2 linked regions of the Diceros bicornis minor genome follow. Each later gene encodes a partner of the first gene's protein in a complex. Links are inferred from orthologs where the notes say so. Each region holds a gene or a part of one and is shown in the gene's direction. Other genes may lie near its edges.

Region 1 (7,234 bases):
CTCTGCTTTTGTAGGACTGAAAAACTTTGACACTTCCTCCCTCCGTAATTTCTGGAGGGCTTGGTGCCCACACAGCCCACATCCCTGAGCATGGCTTCTTCCTGCTTCTCCACACACCTGTGGTTCCACTGGGAGGGCAGCTGTTCCCTGTGTGTCTGTTGAGGCCCAGCAACTGTGAGGCACCACCAGGCAGGTGTCCTCCATCTGTTTCTGAGTCCAGGATTCGTGTGTTTTTCAAGGGCCAGTGGAAGTGCTGAGATCTAAAAGCACGCTGACTGGGGGTCCGGCCCGGTGGCCTAGCGGTTAAGTTCGCGCGTTCCTCTTCGGTGGCCCCGGGTTTGCCGGTTTGGATGCTCGGTGCGGACCTACTCACCTCTCATCAAACCATGTTGAGGAGGGGTCCCACATAGAAGAGCTACAGCTCTACGACTATGATACACAACTATGTACTGGGGCTTTGGGGAGAAAAAAACAAAAAGAGGAAGATTGGCAACAGATGTTAGCTCAGGGCCAGTCTTCCTCAAAAAAAAGAAAAATTAAAAAAAATAAATAAGAGCATGCTGATTGGTGCCAAAGCCTGAAAATAAACTTCAAAATAAAATTAATAAGCTTTATCAAATGGCTACAAAATTTAACATTAAATTGAAAATCTACAACTCAATTCTCTTGTTGCTGTATATAAATATTATGAAGTTGAAATCATAAGAACAAAATAATTTATTGTGATGAAATTCAGAATTATTAAAAATTCTGAGTTTCAGTTTCTTGACAGCACAAGTGGTTGAGTGTGGCTTGGTGACTGAACTCCCCAGGGGACGGCTGTTGTGTGAGGCTGCCAGTGACGATGCTTTGATTCCTGTGCCCAGCCCAGGGGTGGTGAAGCGTGCAGAGCGGGGAGCGGACAGCACGCCTGCCCCAGGCGGCAGAGCTGGCGCTGGAGTCTGCCATCCGCCCTGTGAGGCTCTGAGTCGTTGGGGTGAGAGTGGAGTGTGTTTACCGCAGGGTGTGGGTGTGAATCTCATGCTGGGACCTGGGTCCTGCCCCAGATGCATCTGAGTTCCGATTAGGGCGCCGGTGGGCTCCGACCGTAGTTTGTGTTCTGTGCTATCATTCGCAAGCTGTGTGTCTCGGGCCGTCCCTGTGTCCCTGCGTGTTCTGTTTTGCCTACATATGACGTGTGTTTGAAGTTGTCCTACTTTGACCTAAATACTCGCTCATATAACACGTGTCCTCTGCTGTCACATGTGTCCACGTGTGACACATATGTTCTGTGTCTTACTCTGGCTGCTCAGGGGTCAAGAGAGGCCTAGACCATTTCCGCTCAGGAGTCAAGAGGCGTCAGCCCCCTTTGTGGGTGCCCTCCAGTGTCCAGGGCTGGGCTGCTGCCACCCCCAAGGAGTGTAGTCAGCATCCTGGCCTGGCTACCCATCAGCCAGGTGACTAAGCCTGTCCTTCAGCTGAGACTGTGCCTGTGAGGGGCCAGGTATCGGCCTCCAGCTGTCCTGTGCCGGCTCTGTCAGATGCACTCTCACAGGGTCTCTGTCCAGACCGTAACTCACGTCCAGCCTCAAAGCCACCTCATGGCCCATCCCTTTCCCCAGCTGAGGCCTGCTGGGCTGGGAGGCGACTAAAGGCCAGTATGAAAAAGCCCTCTCGGCTGGCGAGCAGGTGGAGGCACAGGCAACTGGGTCAGGAGGGACTGAGGTTGGCTGGTCAGGCCTGGGGGAGCCCAGCTCGGGGAGGCTACAGGAGGCCGAGCCTCCCTGGGTTCCTGCCCCTGCTGGGCTCCTGAGGTCAGCAGGAGGTGCTTTGAGCTTTGTCTGCAGAGTATGGTGCACGCGTCTGTTCCCTGGGCGTCTGGGGGCCTTGATCTGTGTGTTTTCCTGTTCTCTTGTGTCTACTCACGTGCCTCACGTGCACCTGTGTGTGTGTGTGTGCACACGTGTTTGTGCGTCCCTGTGAGTGTCTGTGCATTTCTGCGTGTGCACCCATGTCTGTGTGTCTACCCGTGTGCCTGCTTGGGCATCTTTATGTTTGTTTGCGGGCATGTGAGTCTGTGTGTCCTGAGTGTCTCTGGGGACATGCCCTGTGTCTCCACACGCGTCCCTGAGTAGGCTGCAGCGAAGATGCAGAGATAAGTCCTGGGGGACAGCTTGGGATGCTGAGTCCTGGGGCATCTGCCTGCCCTGTCCCCTCCTGATTCACCAGGTATCCTAGCGACGCTGCTCCAGGTCGCCTAGCAACCAGGTCCCCATCCTTGGAGACGGATGCTCTGAGAAGGGTCTGGGCTGTGTGGGTAGGGCCCGTGCAGGAAGAATGACCCCAGGACTAGGTGGAGTTGGCGACTCAGCTCAGGGGTCACCCACATGGTTTGTGACTTCAGGCTGGGAAGGAGGCAGCTCCATGGGAGCTGTTCAGCTGCGTGGGTGCTGGGGGCCCAGGCTGTGAAGGAATGAGGCTCAGATGTTGCTCTGGGACCCAGCTGTGGCAGAGACGCCCTTGGTGTGTCTCGGTGCCAGACAAACCTGAGTTTGAGCCCTGTCTCTGCCATTTTGACAGGTGGCTTCACACCTCTGAGGCTTAATGCTCTTGTCTGCACAAAAGTGGTGCTGATGGCAATGGCCAGATCCAGTGGGGATGGGTGATCATGTTCATGATGGGCGTGGTGCACAGTAGGCATATGAGGCACACAGTGGGCATGCAGGGTGCACAGCAGAGTCCTGGCGTCCTCTTGTTTACAACAAGGCTTTGGTCTGCTCAGAGCTGGCCATGCAGGGGCCCTGCCACGTGTCCACCCACCTGCTGGCGCATTGTGGCTCAGCTGAGGAGCCTGGCTGAGGGGCGCTGTTCTGGACACAGGATGCCAACCGAGGCTGGTCTGAGTTCGTCCAAGGCCGTGTGTCTGTGTGGGAGCTGTGGCCCCATGTCTGCGTGTCCTGTGTGTGTCTCCCCGAGACTCTGTCCCAGGTGTTGTATTCTGTTTCTTTCCGTGTCTTTGTGTGAGTTCCCATGTGCCTGTCCCTGAGTCCCTGTGTGTCCTTGTGTGTGCCTGTTCTTGTGTCTGAGTTCCTGTGTGCATCTCTGTCACTGTGTCTGAGCCAGTCTCTGTCCGGGCTCTGTGAGTCTAAGCCTCTCTCTGTCATTCATCACTAGGTGTGTGCCCTGGTCTTGCGTCTGTCTCCATCTAGCGTGGGCCCTGGTGACCCCCCTTCCCTGTGGCCCCCTCCTCCAGCCTGTGTGGCGCCTCCCCTTCTGGAGCTGCAGCCTCCTCCCCTCCCCCAGCTCTGCGCTAGGCTGCTGCGTCTAGTCTACTAGTCTACTGAGAAGGAGCAGCTGCCACCGCCGCTGCCACCGTCGCCCCATCCAGACGGGGGGCTGAGGCGGGGAGGGGGTCCCAGCCCTGCTCTGCCATCCAGCCAAGGGTTAGGGTCTCCAGTGTCTGGCTCCCGGGAGGTTGCAGAGGTAAGGCTTGAGTTGCTGGGGGTCGGGTGTGGGGGTGACCTGCAGACAGCCTGCGGCTCTCCGGCAGGATTGCGGAGGGACAGGAGGCGGCCGTGCGCTCGGCCACCCTGTGTTCTGTCCCAGGTGTTTCTGGGCACGTCTTAGCCCCTTTTGTGCCTGCGTGTGCCTGAGGGCATGTTTGGGCATCTGTGTGTGTGTGTGCACCCATGTGCCCCTGCGCCTGTGAGCACACGGGTGGCTGCGTGTCCCTGAGTCCCTGTGGGTGGACACGTGTCCTGGTGTGTAACTACGTCCACACATCCCATGTGGGAGTCTGCAAGGCAGATGAGACTGTGTCCCTGTGTGTACGTACGTGCCTCTGTGTTTGTGTGTCCCTGTCTGTACATACATGTCTGCATGTCTCCACGAGTCGCTGTGTGTGTGTGCGTGTGCCTGTGTTCCTGTGTGTGTGCCCGTGTGTGCCTGTGTGTCCCTGCATATACAGGCGTGTCTCTGTGCTTTGCGTGTCCCTGTGTGTGCATGTGTCCCTGTGTGTGTGTGCATGTGTCCCTCTGTGTCTGCGGCTGCCCACGGGCATCCATGTGCCTGCTGGACCACGCACACTGTGCGCGGAGGCCGTGGTGGGGTGGGTGTTGGGTCTGCAGTCATATGTCCCTGTGCCCTCCCAGGTACCGAGTGGCTTCCCACGCAGGGCAGCAGCATGGAGTCCCTCTTCCCTGCCCCGTTCTGGGAGGTCCTCTATGGCAGCCACCTGCAGGGCAACCTGTCCCTCCTGAGCCCCAACCGCAGCCTGCTGCCCCCCCACCTGCTGCTCAACGCCAGCCACGGCGCCTTCCTGCCCCTCGGGCTCAAGGTCACCATCATGGGGCTCTACCTGGCCGTGTGTGTCGGGGGGCTGCTGGGGAACTGCCTCGTCATGTATGTCATCCTCAGGTAGGCTGGGCCCCGCTGAGGTCCCTGCCTGGTGAGACCCACAAGGCTGCAGAGGGAAAACCGGCAGGGGCTGTTCTGGCTGGGCTGGCTGGTGGGGATTTCCTGTTCCCCCATGCAGTTCCTGGTCGTCCTGACATGGGGCAGGGTCAGTCCTGAGGCCCAGGAAACTCAGCTCCTCGGGGTGGGGGCACCAGACTAGAGGGAGAGGAGGAGGAGGGGACCAGCCCTGCCTGCCCAGGCTTGGCGGGGAGGAGGGCGCAGCTCTGTCCCAGACGGAACATTACCCTTACTCCTGACAGATGACACTCCCTGGTCTGAGCCATGGGCCCGGCTCCCAGCCAAGCCGCTGTGTGAGGACCTCGTGGGTCCCACAGCAGCCCCGAGAAGCAGCTCGTCAGCCCATTCCAGGGCTGGTGCTGGGCGGATGCCGGAAGCCCCTTCCCTCCGGCTCCAGGGCTCCGGGTTCACAGCTGGTGTCTGGGCCCACGCCAGCGTCTGTCAGTGCTCAGAGTGGGCTGCGGGGCGAGGAGATGTCACAGGGGAACAGCGTGGGGGAGTGTGAGGACAGAGTGAGGACAGTGTGGGGACAGTGTGGAGGTTCAGCGTGGGGGCACAGTGTGGGTGGACAATGTGGGGACAGTGTGGTGGGGACAGTGTGGAGGTTCAGTGTTGGGGCACAGTGTGGGTGGACAATGTGGGGATAGTGTGGTGGGGACAGTGTGGGGACAGTGTGGGGACAGTGTGGGGGGACAGTGTGGTGGGGACAGTGTGGGGACAGTGTGGTGACAGTGTGGGGGGACAGTGTGGGGGGGCAGTGTGGGGACAGTGTGGGGACAGTGTGGAGGGACAGTGTAGAGGGACAGTGTGGGGACAGTGTGGAGAGACAGTGTAGAGGGACAGTGTGGGGACAGTGTGGTGGGGACAGTGTGGGGACAGTGTGGGGTGACAGTGTGGGGACAGTGTGGGGACAGTGTGGAGGGACAGTGTGGGGGGACTGTGTGGGGACAGTGTGGAGGGACAGTGTACAGGGACAGTGTGGGGACAGTGTGGAGGGACAGTGTGGGGGCAGTGTGGTAGGGACAGTGTGGGGACAGTGTGGGGACAGTGTGGGACAGTGTGGGGGGACAGTGTGGGGACAGTGTGGAGGGTAGGTGTAGAGGGACAATGTGGGGACAGTGTGGAGGGACAGTGTAGAGGGACAGTGTGGGGACAGTGTGGAGGGACAGTGTAGAGGGACAGTGTGGAGACAGTGTGGAGGGACAGTGGGGACAGTGTGGGGACAGTGTAGAGGGACAGTGTGGGGACAGTGTAGAGGGACAATGTGGGGAACAGTGTGGGGACAGTGTAGAGGGACAGTGTGAGGACAGTGTGGAGGATAGCATGAGGACAGTGTGGGGGACAGTGTGTGGGGACGGCATGGGGACAGTGTGGGGACAGTGTGGGTGGAGAGTATGGGGACAGCATGGGGGCAGTGTGGGGATGTGCACGTGTGCATGTGCATACCTGCATGTGTGAGTGTGCACATACGTGTGTACATGCATGTGAGCGTGCACGCGCATATGTGTGTACACGTAAGTGTGAGTGTGCACATGCACGCTGTACATGTATGTGTGAGCATGCACCCGTATGTGTGCATGGTGTGTGTGTTGGTGTGTGTGGGGTGCATGCTCAGGCAAGGGGCTGGGAGGAGCAGCTGCCCCCTCCCCAGTGCTGACCCTCAGGGGACTGGACTCACACGCCCCTTCGTGGCTGGAGGAGGTGTTGTGGGTGAGAAGTGCAGCAGTCTGGATGGTCCGTCCGTCCTTCTTGTTGTTAGTGCTTCTCCTCTGTGTCTCCCTCGCTGGGGCATCCCAGCTCCCAGAGCCACGTCCTGGATTTCAGCAGACAAGGAAGGTTGTCTTGCCACAGGCAGCCCCCAGAGAGAGGGATGTGCAGGAACTGTTGTGACTGCGCTGGCCCGAGAGGCAGCACAGTACACTCTGAGCCAGCGGACTGGGGTGGGCTCCCTCAGAATTCAGAAACACCCAGTTCCAAACCCTGCTCTTTTTTAAAGACTGTTTTTTTAGAGCAGTTTTATTTAAGTTCACAGCAAAATTGACAGGAAGGTACAGAGATTTCCCATATACCCTCTGCCCCCACACATGCATAGCCTCCCCCATTACCAATATCCCCCACCAGATGGTGCATTTGTCATAATTGATGAACCTACATTAACACATCTTATCACCCGGAGTCTGTAGTTTACAGTAGGGGTCATTCTTTGTGTTGTACATTGTGTGGGTTTGCACAAATGTATGAGGACATGTGTCCATCACTATAGTATCACACAGAGTAGTTTCACTACCCTAAAAATCCCCTGTGCTCCGCCTATTCATCACTCCCCACCTCTCTACCCCTGGCAACCACTCATCTTTTTACTGTCTCCATAGTTTTGCCTTTTCCAGAGTGGCGTATAGTTAGAATGATGCAGTGCATAGCCTTTTCAGACTGGCTTCTTTCACTGAGTGATGTGCGTTTAAGGTTCCTCCATGTCTTTTCATGGCTGGACAGCTCATTCTTTTTAGCGCTGAATAATATTCCATTGTCTGGATGGACCACAGTTTATTTGTCCATCTACCCACTGAAGGACATTTTGGTTGCTTCCAAGTTTTGGCAATTGTGAGTAAAGCTGCTATAAATATCCATGTGCAGGTTTTTGTGTGGACATAAGTTTTCACCTCCTCTGGGTAAATACCAAGGAGTGCAATTGCTGGATCGTATGGTAAGAGTCTGTGTAGATTTGTAAGAAACCACCAAACTGTCTTCCAAAGTGACTGCCCCATTTTGCATTCCCACCAGC
Region 2 (7,876 bases), on another chromosome or scaffold:
TTCATCTCAAAAAGGGGGATAATATTAACCCTAGATATAGGGTTGTATATGAATATAAAAATCTTTTGTAACCTATAAAGAACAAAATCTACACATGTGGTTGATGAGAAGGATGGGGATGCATATGCTTCCAGCAGGAAGGCTGCCCCTCTTCCCTTTGCCACTAAAAGCACCAAAATTACAGGCTTTCTCGTAGGTCATAAGACAAAACTCAATTAACTTTTAGCTTCAGCTAAAGCTTCATACGTAATTCTCCAAACAGATAAGCGACTAATTATACTGCCCTTAGAAGCAAGATTGCATGCAAATAGATTGAGGCTGAAACACAGTAGTATTTTATCTTTATAAACAGTGAGGTACAATTAAATTTATGAGGTGTCATTACCAAAATAAAAGGTTAATTAAACGTTTCTTTATTCAATACGAGATGTCCAGATTATAGAAGTGTTAGCTGAACTTGGTTCACCTAGTGAAATACAAGCCATAAAATTCAAACATATTCAGGGAAGTTTTATTTACTGATGGTCAGTATGGTACAATAAACAACAACAACAAAAACCTGTTGTTACCCCCATTTTGCAGTTGAGAAGACTGAAGCTCTCAGAGGTGAAATACTTACCCAAAGTCACACAGGTACAAAGTGTAAAGATTAATCATAAATATAACTCATGAATTGACTAATTACTCACTTTCATCTTACTTGGCATTAACTTACAGACAGAGCTACAAAAAAACCACATAGGTGCTGTCAACACATCTTAAAAATGAAAAACTTTTATTGAGTTTTCAATAAAGTTCAAAATCTAACTTAACCCAGAACACAGTTGTACTAGGTGTTGTGAGGAGTACCCAAAAGTATAAAATGTTGTCCCTTCTTAAGGATAATTACATCTATTTTGAGCTTTCATTTATATTAATCTCTAAATATCACAAACCACCTGTGATATAGGACTGTGCTGTCATTCCCATTTTAAGGATTCTTTGAACTGCAAAGGAGAATGAATGGCGTTGAGTATGGATGGTTTTTAAATAATAGGTGGGGTCACTTGTTAAAAGTGAGGGGTGGGATCTAGAGGGGTAGGGAGGTTGGAGACTAGAAGAGAGGTGTACCACGGACCAGCAGGGAGGGCCGGGCGAAGGTCAGGTAGATCTGACGAAGTTTCCCATAGCGCCAAACCGAAGAAGGCCCACACTTGACATGCAGGAAGGCTACCAAATGGAACATGTGCCAAACGCCCCAGGAGCTCATTTTCTTTCTTCACCTCACCCTAAAAACCCATTTACCCAGAATTTGAGATAACAAATATCAGTCATTCCACCAAACACTTCCCGAATGTGCAAGTTGCCCCGGTTAATGAAGTTCATGAAAAACCTCAGCCAGAGAGCATTTCATTAACATCTGTCACAACATATCACCTCAGCCTATGCAAACATTATGGATTGCAATTTTGTATTAGGAAGGAAAGGAAACAGTCCCTTTTCTCCTCTCCTTCCCTTTCTTCTATGACATGCAGGCACTGCCATCATGTGGCCATAAAGAGTACAGCCATGCCATTCTGGACAAATTCTACAAAAATGTCTCCCGACTAGGAAGACTGAAATTTAGTAGAATAAGAAATGTAAAGGGAATTCTCAATTCAAAGAAAAGACATATTCATGTAGTCCTCAATTTAAGACTTTTGCTTATATGATGGCTGTTTGGAATTCAAGATACATTTTCTCTTCAAAAGAACCCGTAAGTGGTGATGAGCTTCCATAGCTTGTCTACCAATACCCATTTAACCTGTACAAACTCAGCATATAACACTATTCCAACCATGCCTCACGGCCATTTGTAACATGAGGTTCCAGCTTAGGATGGCATCTTGCCTTGCTCTGGAACAAAACTAGTTCATATGCCTCTCCCCTCAAACTGAACAATTAGCTAAGAGATGCTTTGTCAGTAACACAGGTCCTGAAGTGGCTCCTGTGCTGTGAGCATCCTGGGCCCCCAATGAGGCAGATGATCCTAGAAACTCCTCAAGTCGACACTGGCTAAGGAGAAGGAAGAGGGCTCCTGAGATACTCCACTGTCATTTATCAAACATTTTTTAGCATCTCCTAAGTGCCTGGCCCTGTGCTGGATGCTAGAAAGATAGAGGACCATAGAATATAATCTCTGCCCTTCAGGAAGTCACAGTCCAGCAGGAGAAATGGACACATAAGTCCAAGCTTACAGTGTAGTGTGGTAAGTGCCATGCAAGAGACAATGATAGTACTATAGCATGAAGGCTACGTGCTGGGTTCTTGCTTTTCTATAGTACTTGTTTTGTGCCAGGTGCTATTTTAACTGCTTACCAACACTAACCCATTAATTGTCATATGAGATAGGTACACCATTATTGCCCCATTTTTATAGATTAGAAACTGAGATGTTGAATTGCAGACCTGGGATGTGAACCCAGGCAGTCTGTAGTGATGAGCAGATGAGAAAACGCGAAACACAACAACTCTGCGACATAGGTCTGTTGTGCCTGGTTGACAGACAGGCCTCTGAGGCTCACTTGCTTCCCACTATGATGTGCTGTGTTGCGGTGCCACAGAAGCAGAGGAGATTCTTCTAACTCAGACCAGGGTTGGCGATGGCTTCCCAGAGGGGCTAAGTCTTGAGGTGTATATGAAGTATGAGTTGGAGACACGTGTTCTGGGCAGAAGGAACAGCAAGTGCCAAGAAGGCATTTCACAAAGGACCCAATAGAGTTGGGAACAATATGTGATTCACTAGGACTAGGGGAGGTACAAGGGTGAGTGACTGGAGATGAAACTAGAGAAGTGGGCAGGAGCAGTCCCAATGGGGGTTATAGAATTACTTTAAGTGTGAAGTGACATCATCCAATTTGGAGATGGCTTGGTGGGAGGCCAGACCATTAGGCAGACTAATTAGGAGGCTATCACAGTAACCAAGGCAGTAAATCTCAACTAAGGTACTGGCCCTCAAGATAGAGAAGAAAAACTGCATTGGAGATATACTCATTTGCATAGATACTTGTGTTCATTAGCCCAGGACATCCTATCACCTGTAGGGTAAAGCTCAAACCCTTTAGGATGGAAACCAGACCCTGTTCCTCTGGACTGAGCCTCTCTTTCGGCAGGGTGCTTCCCTCAGGGAGTGTGGGCAGGTGGCCCCAGCACAACAGCCTGCTCCCTATCCCCTCACAGGCTCTGGTCCTGACTCTTCTGTGCCTTTGAAAAGACTGCTTCCTGGGTCTCTCAGACGCCCCTTTCTTTATTCTCTTGGCAAACTCTCAATCATCATTCAAAACCCATCTCAAATGTTGCCTCATTGACTTAACAAATATTGATTGAGCATCTCTTAGTCAACACCCTCTTGGTATGAAATGCTTGGATGATGCACAAAAAGAGCTGGGGTAGTTTCTCAACATGGCCATCGGGTGACTTCAACTGCAGCATCCCCTTCCTTCTCCTACTGCCTTGCTCCCTTTCACATCCATCTTCTACCAGTGCTTCTCAAACTTGAGCGTGTGTACGAATCACCTGAGGAACCTGCAAAAAGCGCAGATCTAGAATCAGTGGTTCTGGGGTAGGGCCTGAAAGTCTGCATTTCTAGCAAGATCCCAGGTGATGCTGATGCTGCTGGTCGCAGACTGCATTTAAATAGCAAGGCTTCTACATTTTTTCAGTATAGTCTGGTGAAAAGGCAATTATTTTTGTTTTCCTACACTGAACTCTTTATTACGGTAAAATTTACATACAGTGAAATGCACAGAATTTATATGTACAATTCAATGGTTTTTGGCAAATGTATACACCCCCGTGACCTAAAGGTCAAACAAGAACATTCACAACATTTCTAGAAAGTTCACTTGTTCCCCTTTCCACTTAATCCTCTCAGTAAAGATGGTTCTACAGGGACCCTAAATGATGCAGTCCAAGGAAATAGCTTTCTGATTCAGGAGGCTTGATCACAGGATCAGTTTAAAGAGGAACAGGAAAAACTGCACATCTTTCAGGCAATCCTACATAAAGAATAGAAACTACTGATATAACTAATAATCATTGGAGCTATCATCTTAGAATAGTATCTGTGTTCATTTTTCAATAAATAACTCCACATGCCTGGTCCTGTTTTTCACAGAATAGCAAGGTGAACATAGCATTGGCCCTGTGCTCAGGAAGCGGGATCATGTCTAGCGGGGAAATGGACAAGGAACCTGGCAGAAGCTTCCTGGAAGAGCAGATTCTGAGACATGGGGCATTCCTGGCCAGGGCTGGGCAGGATGACATGAGGTACACGAGTCACTCATAAATCACTCATTTGACACATCTCACTCTTGCAAAACTTCCCTTGCAGATCTCATCTCATCTTTGCAACAGCCCTGTGACAAGGCAGGGACCACTATTCCCCTTTTATAGCTAGGAGAATTCAGGCTTGGAGAGGTTGTCACACACTGGTAAGCTGCAAAGTGAGGCTTTTAGCTCCCTGGAAGTGCTCAGGCACATTGAGGGCAGCTGGGTGGCAGCAATCACGGAGATGCTCTCCCCAGGAGCCCAGACACCAGCTCCTGCATGAACGTTAGTCCTGGCTGACAGGAGCGGGCCACCTGTGCTCTTGACAATCCACTTCCTCCTGGGAGGTAAACCTCAGGCCCTGGCGCTGTCCCCTCCAAAGAGTATCTTTCTTGCATCACCTGTGTGAGAGTCTCCAGCCCCTACTGGCCCCCACAGAATGGCTGTTCTAATTGCCACCCACCCTCACTTGTGTTTTAGCAACTGGATCCCAGCTCCTGCACCATGAAAATCCTGCTTTGTGACCTTCTGCTGCTCAGCCTCTTTTCCAGCGTGTCCAGCAGCTGTCAGAAGGACTGCCTGACCTGCAGAGAGAAGCTCCACCCAGCTCTTGACAGCTTCAATTTTGAGGTAGGTCCAGGAACGTCCCTGTCTTCTCCTCCCTCTCTCCCCCAGAGCAGATCCAGGATGAGAAACTAAGGCCTCGCCTAGAGGTCACGTGATTCACCTGGTGTCACCTGATCGGTAGGAAACAGATGTGGACTTGAGCATCCTCTGAATGCAAACCCTGTCATCTTTCCACTTTGCCACATGCAAATAAAGACCTGCCCATGCTGCCATTTTGTTCCCACTATTAAAATAATGCATACTCCTTTCAGAGAATTTGGCAAATTCACAGAAGTATAAAAAAAGAAAATTAAAATCACTTTTAATCTCACCAGAGAAAGAATCCTAGTTTTTTCACTTGCTATATTATATTAGGATAATTCTCCTGTGTTATTAAACATTATTTTAAGTAATTTCTTTCTATGAATACAGTATAATTTGTTTAACCACACCCCTCCCATTGAGTATGTACATTGCCCTCCATTTTTGATATTATAGATAATTCTGCAATAAATACCTAAATGCCTTCTTATATTTCAAATTTTGAATTTGAGGTGCAAATCCAACATCAAATTTCTTTTCAGTAAATAAGCTGCTTTCTCAACTGCTTTCATTTCAGTCTAAGTAGTTATTCTTCGCCTATCAAATCCAACAATTATTTTTTCTTTATAGTCCAATAACCTTCTTTCAAAAGATGCCATGTTTCAAACTCCTCAACCTTTAAAAACAACCAAAAGCAACTACTGTTCCTTAAGGCAAGTGTACAAATATAGAAACCAAGTATTCACGTTGGGCTAATGTGCTAACGATGAGCAGACACAGCCCTGACAGACCCAAACACCAAGCTCTTTCTGCGCTGGCTCTGTGGTCTTCCAGCCTGTTTTCTGCACAGTAATGACTGCCACATCATGAAGAGCATCCCCAGATAACCCATCCAAAGTGTATCTGTCCCTCTCATTCATCCATAGTGGTTCTTCCAAGCATCTTCTATGTGCTGAGCACTGGGCTAGGCCAGGGATCCAAAGATGAGCAGATGGATGGAGTTTGCAACTAGTGGGAGAGAGGAACCCACAATCCCTCTGCAAGAGAGTAATTACTGGGTGCTGGGGAAGCACAGGTAGTGGATCCCAACCTAGTCTAGAGGGGCAGAGGGGGCTTTTGGAGGAACTGAAGTCCCTAAGGAGACCTAAAGATGAGTGGGAGTGAAGAGGCATGCCCCCGGTGCCCCAGGCAGTGGAGAGAGGCATGGAGGGGGAGCACATGTGCAAATGCCTACAGGAGGGAGAGGAGCAGCGTTTAAGGAACTGAGAAAAGCTGAGTTTGGCTAAAGTACAGAAGGCCCTCACGCCTTTTCTGTGCAGCCCAAAGAAGTTTAAAAGTTCATCCAAAAAAAACACTTTCCTTGGCCTTAGTAAACAGAGCAGACAACTAGTTTACATGTAAACCAGTGAAGGAGCTGATTAAGCAAAAATATCACCATCACCACACTGTTAAGGTTCTCAGGTTGCAGCCTAGAGAAGACTGAAGGTTACGTACAATTCCTGAATCACTAGCTTTAACTGTAACTCTTTATCTCCCATTCAAAAAAGCATTAGGACTGAACCAGATATTTGTACACTCATGTCCATAGCAGCATTATTCACAATTTCCAAAAGGTGGAAACAACCCAAGTGTCCATCAATAATGAATGAATAAATAAACTGTGGTATGTATATACAGTGGAATATTATTCAGCCTTAAAAAGGAAGGAAATTCTGACATGTGTAACAAGATGGATGAACCTTGAAGACATTATGCTAAGTGAAATAAGCCAGTCACAGAAGGACAAATATTGTATGATTCCACTTATACGAGATTCCTAGAGTAGTCAAATTCATAGACAGAAAGTAGAATGGTGGTTGCCAAGGGCTGGGGGTTGGGGGAAATGGGGAGTTATTGTTTAATGAGAGTTTCAGTTCGGGAAGATAGAAAAGCCCAGAGATGGATGGTGGTGATGGTTGTGCGACAATGTGAATGTACTTAAACCACTGAACTGTACACTTAAAAATGGTTAAAATGGTAAATTTGATGTTACTTGTATTTTACAATAAAAAAGCATTAAGAACTTAACTGTAAGGATAACCCTGAGTCTGCTCTAATGTATTTTTACAAAGTAAATCATTCATGGATTTATGTGATCTCTTTGAAACAATTACCCCTGATTGTGAAGCACTAGTGGCCTTCCCAACTTCTTGGACATCATGACCTTGGGTTGCCTTGTACTGTGAAGATGGAGGCCAACAAGTACAAATTCTGTCCAGTCTCCTTACCGCCATCTCAGGGTCTGTCTTCATTCTCCCCACCTGCCTCCCGTCTGCGCTCCTGCCCCTTCTTCCTCCTCCTTCCCTTGTACCATTGATTTTCCTGCTGAGCCTTCTCCTTTTTTGCCCTCTCCCACTTGCTCTTTCCTTCCTTTCATTGTCATGTTTGAAAGATTGTGACTTTGACCCCCTCGTTGCTCTCTTGGAAGTCACCAGCAACTCTTAACCACCGAATCCAGGGGCCAATTTGCAGGCTTCCTCCTCTCGCCCCTCTCTTGGTGAACTTGCCTGGCTCTCTCTCCCATTCTGACTCTTCTTTTTCTGCCTCCTGCTGGGCTCCTGTTCCTCCTCCCACCCTCTAAACATAAGTGATCACCAAGATTCCCTGCTTCTAACCTCCATGTACTCTCTCCCTCTGAGATGCCATACCAGTATCCCAGGCCCTCCCCAGGCAGCACGGAACTCCCAAAAGTCCACTCCTCCCTTCCTCTCTGCTAGGCTCAAGCCACTTTCCACACTTCCCAGGAAATCCCGCCTTCCCTTCCTGGCCTTCCCTCTGCTCCAGGAACCAGCCCTGCCATCTTGTGCATGCCTCTCCCTCTTCCCTCGGCCAATAAATCCTACTCATGCCTCAAAACCCAGATTAAGTGTCACCTCTTACGAGAACACTTTGCTGATTCTCT

Evidence for each region. Proteins that work in one complex are often made in the same cells at the same time.
Region 2: the proteins of OPRL1 (region 1) and PNOC are in contact, whole or in part, in a cryo-EM structure (PDB 8F7X), measured with the Homo sapiens proteins. The link is inferred for Diceros bicornis minor from reciprocal best matches to the Homo sapiens genes OPRL1 and PNOC. Residues at the interface, in NP_000904.1 of Homo sapiens: Gln107, Asp110, Gly114, Phe115, Trp116, Val126, Ile127, Asp130, Tyr131, Met134, Gln192, Glu194, Ile198, Glu199, Cys200, Leu201, Val202, Ile219, Val279, Gln280, Val283, Gln286, Gln291, Pro292, Ser293, Val298, Leu301, Arg302, Thr305, Tyr309; in NP_006219.1 of Homo sapiens: Phe130, Gly131, Gly132, Phe133, Thr134, Gly135, Ala136, Arg137, Lys138, Ser139, Ala140, Arg141, Lys142, Leu143.

Annotation. Positions count from the first base shown.
Region 1 is NC_080758.1:162,267-169,500, reverse strand, and holds the start of OPRL1 (nociceptin receptor), read left to right. Parts: upstream 1-4,162; coding exon 4,163-4,395; exon of another isoform or gene 4,396-4,426; intron 4,427-7,234.
Region 2 is NC_080750.1:65,594,161-65,602,036, reverse strand, and holds the start of PNOC (prepronociceptin), read left to right. Parts: upstream 1-4,791; coding exon 4,792-4,917; intron 4,918-7,876.